3 linked regions of the Saccharomyces cerevisiae S288C genome follow. The gene in region 3 interacts genetically with the main gene of each other region. Each region holds a gene or a part of one and is shown on either strand. Other genes may lie near its edges.

Region 1 (5,036 bases), on a different chromosome or scaffold from region 3:
TTAGATTTTCTTTTCATACTTTTTGTACTCCTCTCCTTCGAACTCTCCATGTCTTCTGAGTCTGAGTCACTAGAACTATCAGTAGTATTGCCTTCTGATTCATTGTCCTCGTCTGAAGAAGTGTTGAGTTCCTTGCTAGAGAGATCAAGCTTGACGCTAATTTTGTTCTGTTTCAAGTTCAAAGGCAAGTTCAAAAGCTGAGCAATTCTGTTGCCTTTTTTTTGTTCACTTTTAATTAGTTTCTCAATAGTGTTCCAGTCCATTTGTTGATCGATTAGACCCTGAACAGCAAGCTTAACTTCCTCTATTAAGGGTGCATTTTCAATTATGAGATGGCCTTTCCTTTCATTTAGTTCTTGGACGTCTAATAAAGCTTGTATTTTTCTATCATTTTCGGCACGAGCATCATCGATTTTCTTTTGCGCTTGCGATTCCTGATTTTGTATACGTAGAGCATACTTAGAGGATTCTATTGTTGAGAAAAATTTGTCTAGCGTCCTATTGTAAGGACCTTCAACTTCAATGATACAAGAAGAGTCAGTGTCTCCCCCATTTATATATGGCTTAAAGGGATGGAATGTATCATAAATAAATTCCAAATCGGCAGTATCTTTTTCAGAGATATAATTTTCATTTCTTTTGGCCAAAATGTAACCCTTTCTATCGGTGGTAGTTAAAAGTTGATTATATTCTAACTGAGTACTGTTTAGCAATTCGGCGAGTGAGTCTGTTTCCTCCAAAAGATTTAAACAAGACTCTGAAGGGTCGATATTGAATACCTTAAGGTTCTTTGATAATAAATCTGAAGACAAATGAGGGACTTTCGAAAGCAGCAGTTTATGGATGGAAGGTACTTTCACTTTTTTTTTTTTAGCGCCCTCCTTCCCTTGAATGTTAAGTTGCTTAATAACAGTAATGTCTGATTCATACTTGGCTTGAACTGCTTTTATCCACTCGTTGACTAGTTCAGAGGTGTATTCTGCCTTTCTGTTTTTTTCTATGGATTCATCAGCAGACTCGTTATTTGTGGTAAAAAGTGATTCGTCAAACATTTCATAAATTTGTCCGACCTTATTTTCATGCTCTAGAACGACTCTTTGCAAAGCCATAATTCTTCTGTTCTCATCTAGAAGAATGACATTCCCTGCACTGAAAAATTCCAAAACTAAATAGAAGTGGCCATCAGCAAATTGTAGAACAAGAATTCTATCCTGGTCTACTTGCTTTAAAGCTGTTAACCGTTTAGCTTTAAGATGCTTCCTTAGTTTGACAACAAAGCCGGAAGGAGTTGGAGGTATTGGCCTACTAAATTCAGTTAAGTAAATTCTTAAGCCACAATCGACAACAACATTGAGTTTAGAATCTGGTTTATTAAATTTCAGCAAAAATTGTTTTGAGGAATCGGCAATGTTATATATATTACTCAATCGGTAGCCTTCCAAATCCTGTTTCAGCTCTCTAGCCAACAGCAGTAAATCTAGGGCACTAATTCTTTGCTTCATCGCTATTAATCTCTTGCCTGCCTGACTTCTTAGACCGGATAATAAGTAGCAACTTTCTTTTCAATTTGCCATCGGATTCTTTTAAAACTATTTTTCAGGCGAAATTTCATTTTTCTATCCTTCCGCAGCATGAATGAAAAGTTCAAACGCGTCCAAATATACAATAGATATAGTGCATTAGTTAATGTCCGGAAGAGAAGTCGCAATTGTTGAAAAGGTTAAAACTCAGGCTATTTATTGAAAATCCAATTTTAATCGTAACCACAGAGTTGAGGTAGAGGCTCATTTGTTACCTGACAGTTGATGACATTATCACTGACATATTTAAATTCATCATTAGTGTAATCAGCACATGCTAAGTTGAGGGCACTACTGCAACTTCAGTTTGTTTCCTTAAAACCCAAAAGAGTAGAAAACCAGGCTAAAAACAGTCACACTAGTCCAAAAAATGGACAAAAAGGAATATTCGGAGACTTTCTATCATCCTTATAAGCCCTATGATATTCAGGTACAGTTAATGGAAACTGTATACAGAGTGCTATCCGAAGGGAAGAAAATAGCTATCCTGGAAAGCCCCACTGGGACAGGCAAGACGCTGTCCTTAATCTGTGCCACGATGACTTGGTTGAGAATGAATAAAGCAGATATTTTCACCCGCATGGAAACTAACATCAAAACGAATGAAGATGATAGTGAAAACCTAAGCGATGACGAGCCAGACTGGGTTATTGACACTTATCGAAAGTCTGTTTTACAAGAAAAGGTGGATTTGCTAAATGATTATGAGAAGCATTTAAACGAAATTAACACGACCAGTTGTAAGCAGTTGAAAACTATGTGTGATTTAGATAAAGAACATGGAAGATATAAATCAGTTGATCCATTAAGAAAGAAACGCAAAGGCGCTAGGCACCTTGATGTATCACTTGAAGAACAAGATTTTATTCCGCGCCCGTACGAATCAGATTCTGAAAACAATGATACCTCCAAAAGCACAAGAGGAGGAAGAATATCTGATAAAGATTACAAATTGAGTGAACTAAATTCACAAATAATAACACTTTTAGACAAAATTGATGGGAAGGTTTCGAGAGATCCAAACAATGGCGATCGCTTTGACGTTACAAATCAAAATCCAGTGAAAATATATTATGCATCCAGAACTTATTCACAATTAGGTCAATTTACTTCTCAGTTAAGATTACCCTCGTTCCCATCATCCTTTAGGGATAAGGTCCCAGATGAAAAGGTGAAGTACTTACCACTTGCTTCGAAAAAGCAGCTTTGTATTAATCCAAAAGTGATGAAGTGGAAAACATTGGAAGCTATTAATGACGCATGTGCGGACCTTAGACATAGTAAAGAGGGATGTATCTTTTATCAAAATACAAACGAATGGCGTCATTGTCCTGATACGTTAGCTCTCAGAGATATGATTTTTTCAGAAATTCAAGATATTGAAGATTTAGTTCCCCTGGGAAAATCTTTGGGAATTTGTCCCTATTACGCCTCGAGGGAGGCACTTCCTATTGCGGAGGTAGTGACTTTGCCATATCAATACTTACTTTCTGAGTCCACCCGTTCAAGTCTTCAAATAAACCTTGAAAATTCTATAGTAATTATTGATGAGGCTCATAATTTGATAGAAACAATAAATTCTATATATTCCTCTCAGATCTCGTTGGAGGACTTAAAGAATTGCCATAAGGGGATAGTAACTTATTTCAACAAATTTAAGTCCAGGCTCAATCCCGGTAACAGAGTAAATCTATTAAAGCTCAATTCACTTTTGATGACTCTGATTCAATTTATAGTTAAAAATTTCAAGAAGATAGGACAAGAAATAGATCCTAACGATATGTTCACAGGAAGTAACATCGATACCCTAAACATTCATAAACTATTGAGATATATAAAAGTCTCCAAAATTGCTTACAAAATTGACACGTATAACCAGGCACTAAAAGAGGAAGAATCGTCAAAAAATGAAAATCCAATAAAAGAAACGCATAAAAAATCAGTTTCTTCTCAGCCATTACTTTTCAAGGTTTCTCAATTCCTATATTGTTTGACAAATTTGACGTCAGAAGGACAATTTTTTTTTGAGAAAAATTATTCAATAAAGTACATGCTTCTAGAACCAAGTAAACCTTTTGAGTCAATACTAAATCAAGCAAAATGTGTAGTCCTTGCAGGTGGGACAATGGAACCCATGTCAGAGTTTTTGTCGAATTTGCTACCTGAAGTTCCTTCTGAAGACATTACGACCTTGTCGTGCAATCATGTTATACCGAAAGAGAATTTGCAAACTTATATCACAAACCAGCCTGAGCTTGAGTTCACATTCGAAAAAAGAATGTCTCCCTCCCTTGTAAATAATCATCTTTTTCAATTTTTTGTTGATCTGAGCAAAGCAGTTCCTAAAAAGGGTGGTATTGTAGCTTTTTTTCCAAGCTATCAGTATTTGGCGCATGTAATTCAGTGCTGGAAACAGAATGACAGGTTTGCTACATTAAATAACGTGAGGAAAATATTCTATGAAGCAAAAGACGGCGATGATATTCTATCTGGATATTCTGATTCGGTAGCAGAGGGAAGGGGGTCTCTTTTGCTGGCTATTGTTGGGGGAAAATTATCAGAGGGAATAAATTTTCAAGATGATTTATGTAGGGCTGTGGTGATGGTGGGCCTGCCGTTCCCAAATATTTTTAGTGGAGAACTAATAGTTAAAAGGAAGCATTTGGCCGCTAAAATAATGAAGTCAGGCGGAACGGAAGAGGAAGCTTCACGAGCAACAAAGGAGTTTATGGAGAATATTTGTATGAAAGCTGTCAACCAAAGTGTTGGACGTGCTATACGGCATGCAAATGATTACGCAAACATTTACTTGCTCGATGTGCGATATAATAGGCCCAATTTCCGGAAAAAATTGTCACGTTGGGTGCAAGATTCTATCAATTCCGAACATACAACACATCAGGTCATTTCTTCAACACGGAAGTTTTTTTCAATGCGCAGCCTGAATTCACGCTAAAAGGAATACGTTTACGTGTATACTGTGATTACTACTATATATTATAGTAAACTAAACTGATATTTATGACTACTTTTTATATCTGCAAGTAATTCTTTGTCTCTTGTATCCTTACATAACTTCCAGCGTTGTTCCACAATATACGCTTATTTCATTAAATCTTTCTAATAGACCCCTTGTAAACCAACCATAATCATTCAAATCATCTCGTTTTATGTCTATTACCCGTTGTTTGCTCACGGGACATATCTTTACATGCGTTGTAAGTATTGGAAGCAAAGTGACACCACACCTCTTCCACGTGTTATTCGTGGTGGATGTTACAGTTTCAGGGTCAGCCGTGAAGCTTTCTAAATTGAACGTTTCCTCGAGAAAGCTGTTCTTCATCAATAACGTGCCGTTGTAAATTGGCGCTTCTCTTTTAAGTATTGCCGCTATAGATAATACGCAAGCTAAATCAAAACTATTCGTTAATTCGGATTTTTTGTTTATAGCGTATT
Region 2 (4,425 bases), on a different chromosome or scaffold from region 3:
GAGGAACATTTGAACGATGACTCCAATCCAACTAGGACCAAATTTACTAAAGAAGAAACTCAAATCTTGGTTGATACTGTAATTAGTGCATTGTTAGTTCTAAAAAAGGATTTACCAGATTTGTACGAGGGTAAAGGTGAAAAAGTTACGGATGAGGATAAGGAAAAATTGCTAGAGAGGTGTGGTGTCACTATTGGATTTCACATTTTGAAAAGAGACGACGCAAAAGAATTAATTAGTGCGATATTTTTTGGCGAATAGTGAGAATCGGTTTATACTAATAGTACAACGGTAATGTTATATAACAGTTTTTACATACGCCATTGTATGTATATATATATATATGCATGATGAGTTATTTAATTGTATACTCAAAGGCCCCCGAAGTGCGAAATTGTTGTAGCTTAGTTTTATTTTATTCCCTTTTCGTCCAAGAAAAGCTACAAAGATGGAGTTGGGTCAACTACTTGCCAGCGAAGGTGGTCTCGCAGTTTCTTATTCTATGTGGATTCTGGAGCAAATAAACGTCTTCTTACTCTCCTTTTTGAGCTATTTTCCGGGGGCTTATTAGTGGGAGTAGAGGTAATATTGGAGGTATTTTTTCTGCCTTCATGCGTATCATCATCCTTGAAATTTAGCGGCGATTCAATGATGCTTTGAAGTTGCGCCTTTTTATTAGGTGTCACAGTTCTTTTTTTCACAGCAGGAGTGGCTTGAACTTGTACGTTTTCCTCAGAGTCTACACGTTCATGTAGGCGTATCGTTTCATTGATATCTTTACGTTTCCCAACTCTGCGAAAAGAGTTATTCATAGTTTTGTATGCATTAATAGTTGAGTGCGAGAAAGGCGTTTTGAGTGTGATAGTTGATGAATTCGGTACTCTTGTTGTGCTTAAGTCAGAGACAGAAAACTGCCGTTTTTGTAAATGATTCATCGTTAGATCAGACTTCGTCCTTCCCAATTGTGAAGGGCGCTTTAAGCTTCTAGTTTCACTTTCGAGAAATTCATTCAAGTTAGAGTTCGTTCTAGAATTCAAAAGTTCAGGGGTGGGCGAAGCTATAGATTTTCTGCTGAACAAATTAGCGTCCACCCTTCTCAATGCGGGTGAAGATGGGACGGAATTAATGATTGAAGAGCGAGAGGCACGTTGACTCGTGGATAACCTGTTATACGTTTCTACAGTATTAGGTGACGATACATTTGTGCTATCGTTGACCTTTTTCAGGGCTCTCTTTGGTCTCATGCTTGGTCCCTTGAGCTTTTGAATTATAAATTCAACGGCGTGTGGTACCTTTTTGTTGAAATATGGAATAAGAACATAATTTATGAACCCAACCAATGAGGCTTCTTTGCTTTTGTCTAGGATATTTTTTTTATGCTCTTGTATTGTTCCATTTGATGCTTCTATGGCATCTGGGTTGGGCGTTTCACTTGATAGTAGAATGTCCAAGATGCATGCTCTATCTAAGTACAAGTCTAACTGTTCACAATAATCCAAAGATGTTGTTATTCTCTCGATTCCTTTGTCTTTTTCGCTGGTTTTTTTCTTCGATCTTCGACGAACTAATCCCTTTTTTGTCAAATTAAGTGATCTTTTCTTCAATTTTAATTTATACTTTTTCTCAAAATCTCTAAAATTCCAATCTAAATCGTTCAATCCTATTATCTCTAATAGCAATAATATTTGTAGCTTTATTTCGCGGGATTTTAATACAACACATAAATCAGCAATGGTTGAGCTGTTTTTGTTTTCATCTTGGATAACAAATTTTGTGAGACAGTTCTTCCTTTTTTCATCTGCTATGGGACTAGAAAAGGGCTCTAATAAAAGCCTGTTATCATGTCTATCTTTGAATTGTACAATTGAGAGAAGAAATTTTTGCAGCATGGCTTGATAGGCTATTTTGTAACTGTCACTTCCGTACTTGGTTCGGCAGGTATTTTTGAGCCTTACTAAATTTGACTTGACGAAATATGCGAGAGGCGTATGTATGGAAAAAAGAGCATCATAATACTTACTTTCTATGTACTCTTTAGGGTCTGAATAGTAGTCATTAATTTTTGATTCGCCTTTCATATCTGGGGGATTCATATCCAGTTTAAGGTCTTTGTCCTTCTCAAGCTTACACGAGCCCTTGGGTTCTTCTGACCATAAATGAAGAAGCTCTTTAAATTTCAATTCGTCCCATGTTTTTAACGTTTCACGCTTAGCTCTTTCTCTTTCAACTGTCGTTACAACTTCCGTACGCCTTTCTGGTAAGCTGTAACCATTGAAATAATTGTACGGCCACTTAACCCAAAATCCTGGCCCATATTCCTCTAGTAGAAAATACTCTTTTCTTGATTTCATGCAGATGTGTTTCAATTGACGTCGATTCTTCTGTTGCAGTAATTGGAGAATGTTACTGGGCACGTCCTCGGATTTAATAATAAGTGGATGATCTAAGCTCAAGTCAAGGCCTTTTGTTGCTTCTTTTACCGATGCTATGACTTCCCATGTTTCCATTATGAGAGGTCAGATCGTTCCTACCTATACGATCTTAACCCTTCAGCAGTTATGAATGAGGCTTCTGCCTGTTTTAACAGTGCCCATCACTTTTTTTTATTTTTCTTAAATGGACCATGTTGTACACCAAGATAGCCGATATTTCAAGGTCGCGTATAATATAACATTTTGCCTAGGATTTTTGTCACCTAGAAATATATATACAGGGAAATCTAAGACATCGAATTATGTGATGAGTAAATAATTTAAAATTTGTAAACTTTGTAAATTCTTTATTAGTAAAATATTATATACCTAATAGTGAGGGACATTTAAGCAGATGAAGAGCATGTTTATTACGCTAAAGATACCTTCACCTAAGACCAACCCCGAACTGAATACAATCATTTTTGTTTTCGCATTTAAGTCACCCCTATGATTCTTCAACCAAAAATGCGAAGCCCACCCGCCGATGAATCTTGCAATTGTAAAACTGGGAGAATTAAATATACCAACACCGACTGCTACACCAGACGGAATATATAATATCCACCCGTATCCGTAATCTCTATAAGTGTTTCTGATTAATGATAAAACGGCAAATATGACTCCGAGAATCATGGAGCACTCCAAGGCCTTATCAGGGAGCCCTTTACCAGTTACTAGTCTTGCACAATCTATCCACACTACTGCTGTCGGTATCCTGAATTGCTCACTCGGAATTGAATAAACTTTATTGTAGCACAAATACATGAAGCTAGACAAAATAATTGACCAACAGGCCCCTATCAATTGGGCACAGAACTGAGCTCTTGGGGAGGCGCCGAGGAGGTGCCCCGTTTTCAAATCCTGCATTAAATCGCCCGCCTGTTGGGCAGAGGCTTCTGCAATACCTCCCGATACCACGTTCATTAACACTGATCCAGGTCTATCCCTTGGTATGATAAAGGCAAAAATCAATTGAGAGATCTTACCAATGCCGCTCACAGGATTCAGATCGGTCTCTCCAAGTGCTCGAATACCGAGAATAGATAGAAACAACGCAAGTATCAAAGCAGTGATAATAGCATATAGGGGAATTACTTGTATCCCAAACAAATATATTATGGAAACAATGCATATTATCGAGGAGACTAGACATCCACTGATAACGGTGGTATAGCGAACCAAATGCTTCGAATCTACTTCTATTTCGTTATCTCTACTCACTAATCTTACGGTGTCCTGCCTTCCATCAACATATGTATTTCTTCTGCTGCTATTAATGGCGCGTTCCTCCTCCAGTAACATAGATTGAAATGTATCATCGATTATGTTGTTCAGTAAAGCAGCTTTGTCATCTATAAGAATAAATTTCACAATGGACTTCACTGTCACAACAATAAAAGCGACTACACTGTCAGCAACCATTATTGAAAGCGACGACCAAAGAATCCATCCTTGCACTCCCTCCTCCCAGTCGTGGACATCAGCATCTGGTGGTACCCATCTTTTGTATCTCGCCAATGGTGCTAACACACCCCAGCCTAAGAAGCACCCGATAAGCATATACGATACTGTTGGAAGACCCATTATTATCCCTTGGCCTATATACGCAGGCGACGGCTGAAAATTCCAGAGATAATTGTTCGAGAGGTATTTTCCGAAGACTGGAATAGACCGTATTACCGGTACAAAATATGACACCATGGTGTAAAGCGAAGAAACAACAAAAGTTTTCAATAAAATAATAATATTCGCTCTGTAGTTCTCAGAGCCAGTAGAAAGGATAGAACTTCCATCTTGGCTAGTTGCCGTATAATCACCAAGTTCGCTATGAGAAGAGTTCATTAAATAATCCGCCTCCTCTGGATCTCTGTTGGGTTGTAGCACTTCAGGGCATTCATTCAATCTCCTCTGCCTCATTTCCAATAACTCTGACTTAGAAACCTCTTGTAAA
Region 3 (6,238 bases):
ACCAAACAAGGAAAAAAGAACAATACAACGTAAATATGAGTAGTCGCAAAAGCACCGCTTCTAGCTTACTGTTACGGCAATATAGAGAACTTACTGATCCTAAGAAAGCTATTCCCTCATTTCATATAGAACTAGAGGATGATTCAAATATTTTCACTTGGAACATAGGTGTTATGGTGCTAAATGAGGATTCCATTTATCATGGAGGGTTTTTCAAAGCTCAAATGAGATTTCCGGAAGACTTTCCCTTTTCTCCACCACAGTTTCGATTTACGCCGGCTATCTACCATCCAAACGTTTACAGGGATGGCAGGCTTTGTATTTCTATTTTACATCAAAGTGGGGATCCTATGACCGACGAACCTGATGCTGAAACGTGGTCCCCCGTGCAGACCGTGGAAAGTGTGTTGATCTCTATAGTATCTCTATTAGAGGACCCCAATATCAACTCGCCAGCAAATGTCGATGCCGCTGTTGATTACAGAAAGAACCCTGAACAATACAAGCAAAGAGTCAAAATGGAAGTGGAAAGATCGAAACAAGATATCCCTAAAGGTTTCATAATGCCCACTTCTGAATCGGCGTACATATCTCAAAGTAAACTAGATGAACCAGAATCGAATAAGGATATGGCGGATAATTTTTGGTATGATAGTGATTTGGACGACGATGAGAACGGGTCCGTCATTTTACAAGACGACGACTACGACGATGGAAACAACCATATCCCCTTTGAAGATGATGACGTTTACAACTATAACGACAACGACGACGATGACGAAAGAATCGAATTCGAAGATGATGACGATGATGACGACGATAGTATAGATAACGACAGCGTCATGGATAGGAAACAACCCCACAAGGCTGAAGATGAAAGTGAAGATGTGGAGGATGTAGAAAGAGTTTCAAAGAAAATATAAAAAAGAACAGTAAGAAAGAAGACAAAATTTAACAAAACATATTCAGCTCAAACGCAAAACATGAATCAATTTATACATACGCGATACGTTGTCGATAAAGCACTTTACATTTTTCCCTATGATAATCTGAGATTGACAGGGGAAGAAGAAAATAACTAAGTGTCGAAGAAAAATTTAGAAAAATTAATTCATCATCCCATTTTACTTCTCGCAGTACACCGTACGAAAGAAGAAGGTAAAGAATTGAGAAAAAAAGTGTATATCATTACATTACTTTACACCACCTTATAACCACAAACGTGTATATTAAGAAAGTTTTTTAAAAAGAAAGAAATAAGAAAACCAAATCCGTCCCACTAATAGTTTCTAAGTTACTGTACTTTTTTTTTTTGAATATATATCACCATACATATGTATATAAATATATATTTGTGTGTGTGTGTTTATATCTATATCTCTTTGCATCTAATTCCTCATTACCTTTTTTATTTTTATTTTCTTATCGGTTCTTGGCTAACGCCTAAGTTTCTTTTAATATTTTACCCGCAGTAAGTAAATGGTTTTTTTTTTGCAAACGCGTCTTAGGTCGATCTTTGCGAAAAAGAAAAAAATAAAGAAATAACGATAATAATAACGGTAATGGCTCAGGCCAAGAAAAACAAAAATCAAGTTGCATAGTCTATACTCAGCCAGGTGTAGATTCCTTTAGATCTGAATTCGCTTGCAGGGCTAGTTATCTTCAGAATTCAAGGTTTGAATCTGAAAGGCATTTGGAATTCTGCTTTTGGTTCATATTTAGAAAAGAAAGAAGAAAATGGTTTCTCCAACGAAAATGATAATAAGGTCTCCGTTAAAGGAAACAGATACCAACTTGAAACATAATAATGGAATTGCCGCATCAACAACAGCAGCGGGCCACTTGAATGTGTTTTCTAACGACAATAATTGCAACAATAACAATACCACTGAATCCTTTCCGAAGAAAAGATCTCTTGAGCGCCTCGAGCTCCAACAGCAGCAGCATTTGCATGAAAAGAAAAGGGCCAGAATAGAAAGGGCCAGGTCTATTGAAGGCGCTGTCCAAGTCAGCAAAGGTACGGGTCTGAAAAATGTCGAGCCAAGGGTTACGCCTAAGGAATTGCTGGAATGGCAAACAAATTGGAAAAAGATAATGAAAAGAGATTCTCGCATTTACTTTGACATTACTGATGATGTAGAGATGAATACATATAATAAGTCCAAGATGGACAAACGCAGAGATTTATTGAAAAGAGGGTTTCTTACATTGGGTGCGCAAATAACTCAATTTTTTGACACTACTGTCACAATAGTTATCACAAGAAGGTCTGTTGAGAACATATATTTACTAAAAGATACCGACATTTTATCGAGAGCTAAAAAAAACTACATGAAAGTTTGGAGTTACGAAAAGGCTGCCAGATTTCTGAAAAATCTTGATGTTGATTTGGATCATTTGAGCAAGACTAAATCTGCTTCTTTAGCTGCGCCCACATTGTCCAATCTTCTACACAATGAAAAATTATATGGACCAACGGATAGAGACCCCAGAACTAAAAGAGACGATATTCACTACTTTAAATATCCTCATGTATACCTTTATGACCTATGGCAAACTTGGGCCCCCATAATAACTTTGGAATGGAAACCTCAAGAACTAACAAACTTAGACGAACTACCTTACCCAATATTGAAAATAGGTTCATTCGGAAGATGCCCTTTTATAGGGGATAGGAATTATGACGAAAGTTCTTATAAGCGCGTAGTAAAGAGATACTCGAGAGACAAAGCAAACAAAAAATATGCACTGCAACTTCGTGCTCTATTTCAATATCATGCCGACACCTTACTGAATACGTCATCAGTTAATGATCAAACGAAAAACCTAATATTCATACCTCACACATGCAACGATTCTACCAAGAGCTTCAAAAAATGGATGCAAGAAAAGGCAAAAAATTTTGAGAAGACCGAGTTAAAGAAGACGGATGATAGCGCAGTTCAAGATGTTCGTAATGAACATGCTGACCAAACCGATGAAAAAAATAGTATATTATTAAATGAAACTGAAACCAAAGAGCCTCCGTTGAAAGAAGAAAAAGAAAATAAACAATCTATAGCAGAAGAATCGAATAAGTACCCACAGCGAAAAGAGCTGGCTGCCACACCAAAACTAAACCATCCAGTATTAGCTACTTTTGCAAGGCAAGAAACTGAAGAAGTGCCGGATGATTTGTGCACTTTGAAAACAAAGTCACGTCAGGCATTTGAAATCAAAGCAAGTGGTGCACATCAATCTAATGATGTGGCAACCTCTTTTGGCAATGGTTTGGGCCCAACAAGAGCAAGCGTCATGAGTAAGAACATGAAGTCATTAAGTAGACTAATGGTTGATAGAAAGCTGGGAGTAAAGCAGACAAATGGAAATAACAAAAATTATACAGCCACTATAGCAACTACTGCTGAAACATCAAAGGAAAATAGACACAGATTAGATTTTAATGCTTTGAAAAAAGACGAAGCCCCTTCGAAAGAGACGGGCAAAGATAGTGCTGTACACTTAGAAACTAATAGAAAGCCCCAGAATTTCCCTAAGGTAGCTACCAAATCAGTCTCCGCAGACTCCAAAGTTCATAATGACATCAAGATAACAACCACAGAATCTCCAACAGCATCGAAGAAATCAACTTCCACAAACGTCACCTTACATTTTAACGCACAGACAGCACAGACAGCACAGCCGGTGAAGAAAGAAACGGTAAAAAATTCCGGATACTGTGAAAATTGTCGTGTAAAATACGAATCTTTAGAACAACACATAGTTTCTGAGAAGCATTTGTCTTTCGCTGAAAACGATTTAAATTTTGAGGCTATTGACTCGTTAATTGAAAATCTCAGATTTCAAATATAGGGACACGACGTAAAGTGCAGTAGCTTTTAGTGATAAAATCAAAATAGTATTGTTCCGTTTCCATTGCTGCTCGGAACAAAAAAGCTATCAACGGCAATGTTATTGAATCACTTTCTCATTCACCCTTGTTACTTTCTTGCTATTGACTTAACTCTTATTTACTCGTCCATATATTATCAATTGCATATATATACATATACATATATATATTATCATCTAGATTAATTACCGTTCATATCATAACTCATTCTGAACAAATAATGATCGAGTACCCACCGCGGTTAATGTCCCAGTTTTCATTTTTACCCGATATCCTGCAGAGACCGAGAGGCATGAAAAAAAAAAAGCTAGTTCTCAACTGCATTAATTGCAGCTCGTATTCATGGTTCAACATAAAAGAACTTACGCTACAGCATTCCATTTGAATAACTCAGAGTATTAGTAAAAGAAATGTGTGAAGAGAATGTTCATGTTAGTGAAGATGTTGCTGGCAGTCACGGTTCTTTTACGAATGCCAGACCTAGGTTAATTGTACTAATAAGGCATGGGGAAAGCGAATCAAATAAAAACAAGGAGGTCAATGGTTATATTCCTAACCATCTGATTTCTTTAACGAAAACAGGTCAAATCCAAGCTAGACAAGCTGGTATTGACTTATTACGTGTTTTAAACGTAGACGATCACAACTTGGTGGAGGATTTGGCTAAGAAGTATATTAAAGATGAAAGTAGCAGGAGAACTTTACCGCTGAAGGACTATACCAGGCTGAGTAGAGAAAAAGACACAAACATAGTTTTTTATACATCACCCTATAGAAGAGCAAGGGAAACATTGAAAGGTATTTTGGACGTCATCGATGAATATAATGAATTAAACAGTGGTGTTCGTATATGTGAAGATATGAGATATGATCCACATGGTAAACAGAAACATGCATTTTGGCCGAGAGGACTTAATAATACTGGTGGTGTTTACGAAAATAATGAAGATAATATTTGTGAAGGGAAGCCTGGAAAATGTTATCTGCAATATCGGGTTAAGGATGAGCCAAGAATAAGGGAACAAGATTTTGGTAATTTCCAAAAAATCAATAGCATGCAGGACGTTATGAAGAAGAGATCTACGTATGGTCATTTCTTCTTCAGATTCCCTCATGGAGAAAGTGCGGCAGATGTATATGACAGAGTCGCCAGTTTCCAAGAGACTTTATTCAGGCACTTCCATGATAGGCAAGAGAGAAGACCCAGAGATGTTGTTGTCCTAGTTACACATGGTATTTATTCCAGAGTATTCCTGATGAAATGGTTTAGATGGACATACGAAGAGTTTGAATCGTTTACCAATGTTCCTAACGGGAGCGTAATGGTGATGGAACTGGACGAATCCATCAATAGATACGTCCTGAGGACCGTGCTACCCAAATGGACTGATTGTGAGGGAGACCTAACTACATAGTGTTTAAAGATTACGGATATTTAACTTACTTAGAATAATGCCATTTTTTTGAGTTATAATAATCCTACGTTAGTGTGAGCGGGATTTAAACTGTGAGGACCTTAATACATTCAGACACTTCTGCGGTATCACCCTACTTATTCCCTTCGAGATTATATCTAGGAACCCATCAGGTTGGTGGAAGATTACCCGTTCTAAGACTTTTCAGCTTCCTCTATTGATGTTACACCTGGACACCCCTTTTCTGGCATCCAGTTTTTAATCTTCAGTGGCATGTGAGATTCTCCGAAATTAATTAAAGCAATCACACAATTCTCTCGGATACCACCTCGGTTGAAACTGACAGGTGGTTTGTTACGCATGCTAATGCAAAGGAGCCTATATACCTTTGGCTCGGCTGCTGTAACAGGGAATATAAAGGGCAGCATAATTTAGGAGTTTAGTGAACTTGCAACATTTACTATTTTCCCTTCTTACGTAAATATTTTTCTTTTTAATTCTAAATCAATCTTTTTCAATTTTTTGTTTGTATTCTTTTCTTGCTTAAATCTATAACTACAAAAAACACATACATAAACTAAAAATGGCTAGAACTTTCTTTGTCGGTGGTAACTTTAAATTAAACGGTTCCAAACAATCCATTAAGGAAATTGTTGAAAGATTGAACACTGCTTCTATCCCAGAAAATGTCGAAGTTGTTATCTGTCCTCCAGCTACCTACTTAGACTACTCTGTCTCTTTGGTTAAGAAGCCACAAGTCACTGTCGGTGCTCAAAACGCCTACTTGAAGGCTTCTGGTGCTTTCACCGGTGAAAACTCCGTTGACCAAATCAAGGATGTTGGTGCTAAGTGGGTTATTTTGGGTCACTCCGAAAGAAGATCTTACTTCCACGAAGATGACAAGTTCATTGCTGACAAGACCAAGTTCGCT

The links.
Region 1: mutations in DBF4 (region 3) and CHL1 together harm fitness more than expected from each alone (negative genetic interaction), as found in Saccharomyces cerevisiae (4 studies listed by BioGRID, with this or other methods).
Region 2: of DBF4 (region 3) and SLD3, changing one enhances a phenotype caused by changing the other (phenotypic enhancement), as found in Saccharomyces cerevisiae (6 studies listed by BioGRID, with this or other methods).

The regions. Positions count from the first base shown.
Region 1 is NC_001148.4:537,435-542,470, forward strand, and holds CHL1 (DNA helicase), read left to right. Parts: upstream 1-1,950; coding exon 1,951-4,536; downstream 4,537-5,036. Other genes in the region: RQC2 (Rqc2p), read right to left, coding at 1-1,502; transcription factor TFIIIC subunit TFC8, read right to left, coding at 4,648-5,036.
Region 2 is NC_001139.9:294,014-298,438, reverse strand, and holds SLD3 (Sld3p), read right to left. Parts: upstream 2,508-4,425; coding exon 501-2,507; downstream 1-500. Other genes in the region: TATA-binding protein-associated factor TAF6, read left to right, coding at 1-261; YGL114W (uncharacterized protein), read right to left, coding at 2,802-4,425. UniProt on the Saccharomyces cerevisiae protein: Required for loading and maintenance of stable association of CDC45 with chromatin during initiation and elongation of DNA replication. Also involved in temporal regulation of origin firing. Required for the association of PSF1 with origins.
Region 3 is NC_001136.10:556,125-562,362, reverse strand, and holds DBF4 (protein serine/threonine kinase activating protein DBF4), read left to right. Parts: upstream 1-1,737; coding exon 1,738-3,852; downstream 3,853-6,238. Other genes in the region: SCF E2 ubiquitin-protein ligase catalytic subunit CDC34, read left to right, coding at 36-923; acid phosphatase DET1, read left to right, coding at 4,303-5,307; triose-phosphate isomerase TPI1, read left to right, coding at 5,891-6,238. UniProt on the Saccharomyces cerevisiae protein: Regulatory subunit of the CDC7-DBF4 kinase, also called DBF4-dependent kinase (DDK), which is involved in cell cycle regulation of premitotic and premeiotic chromosome replication and in chromosome segregation.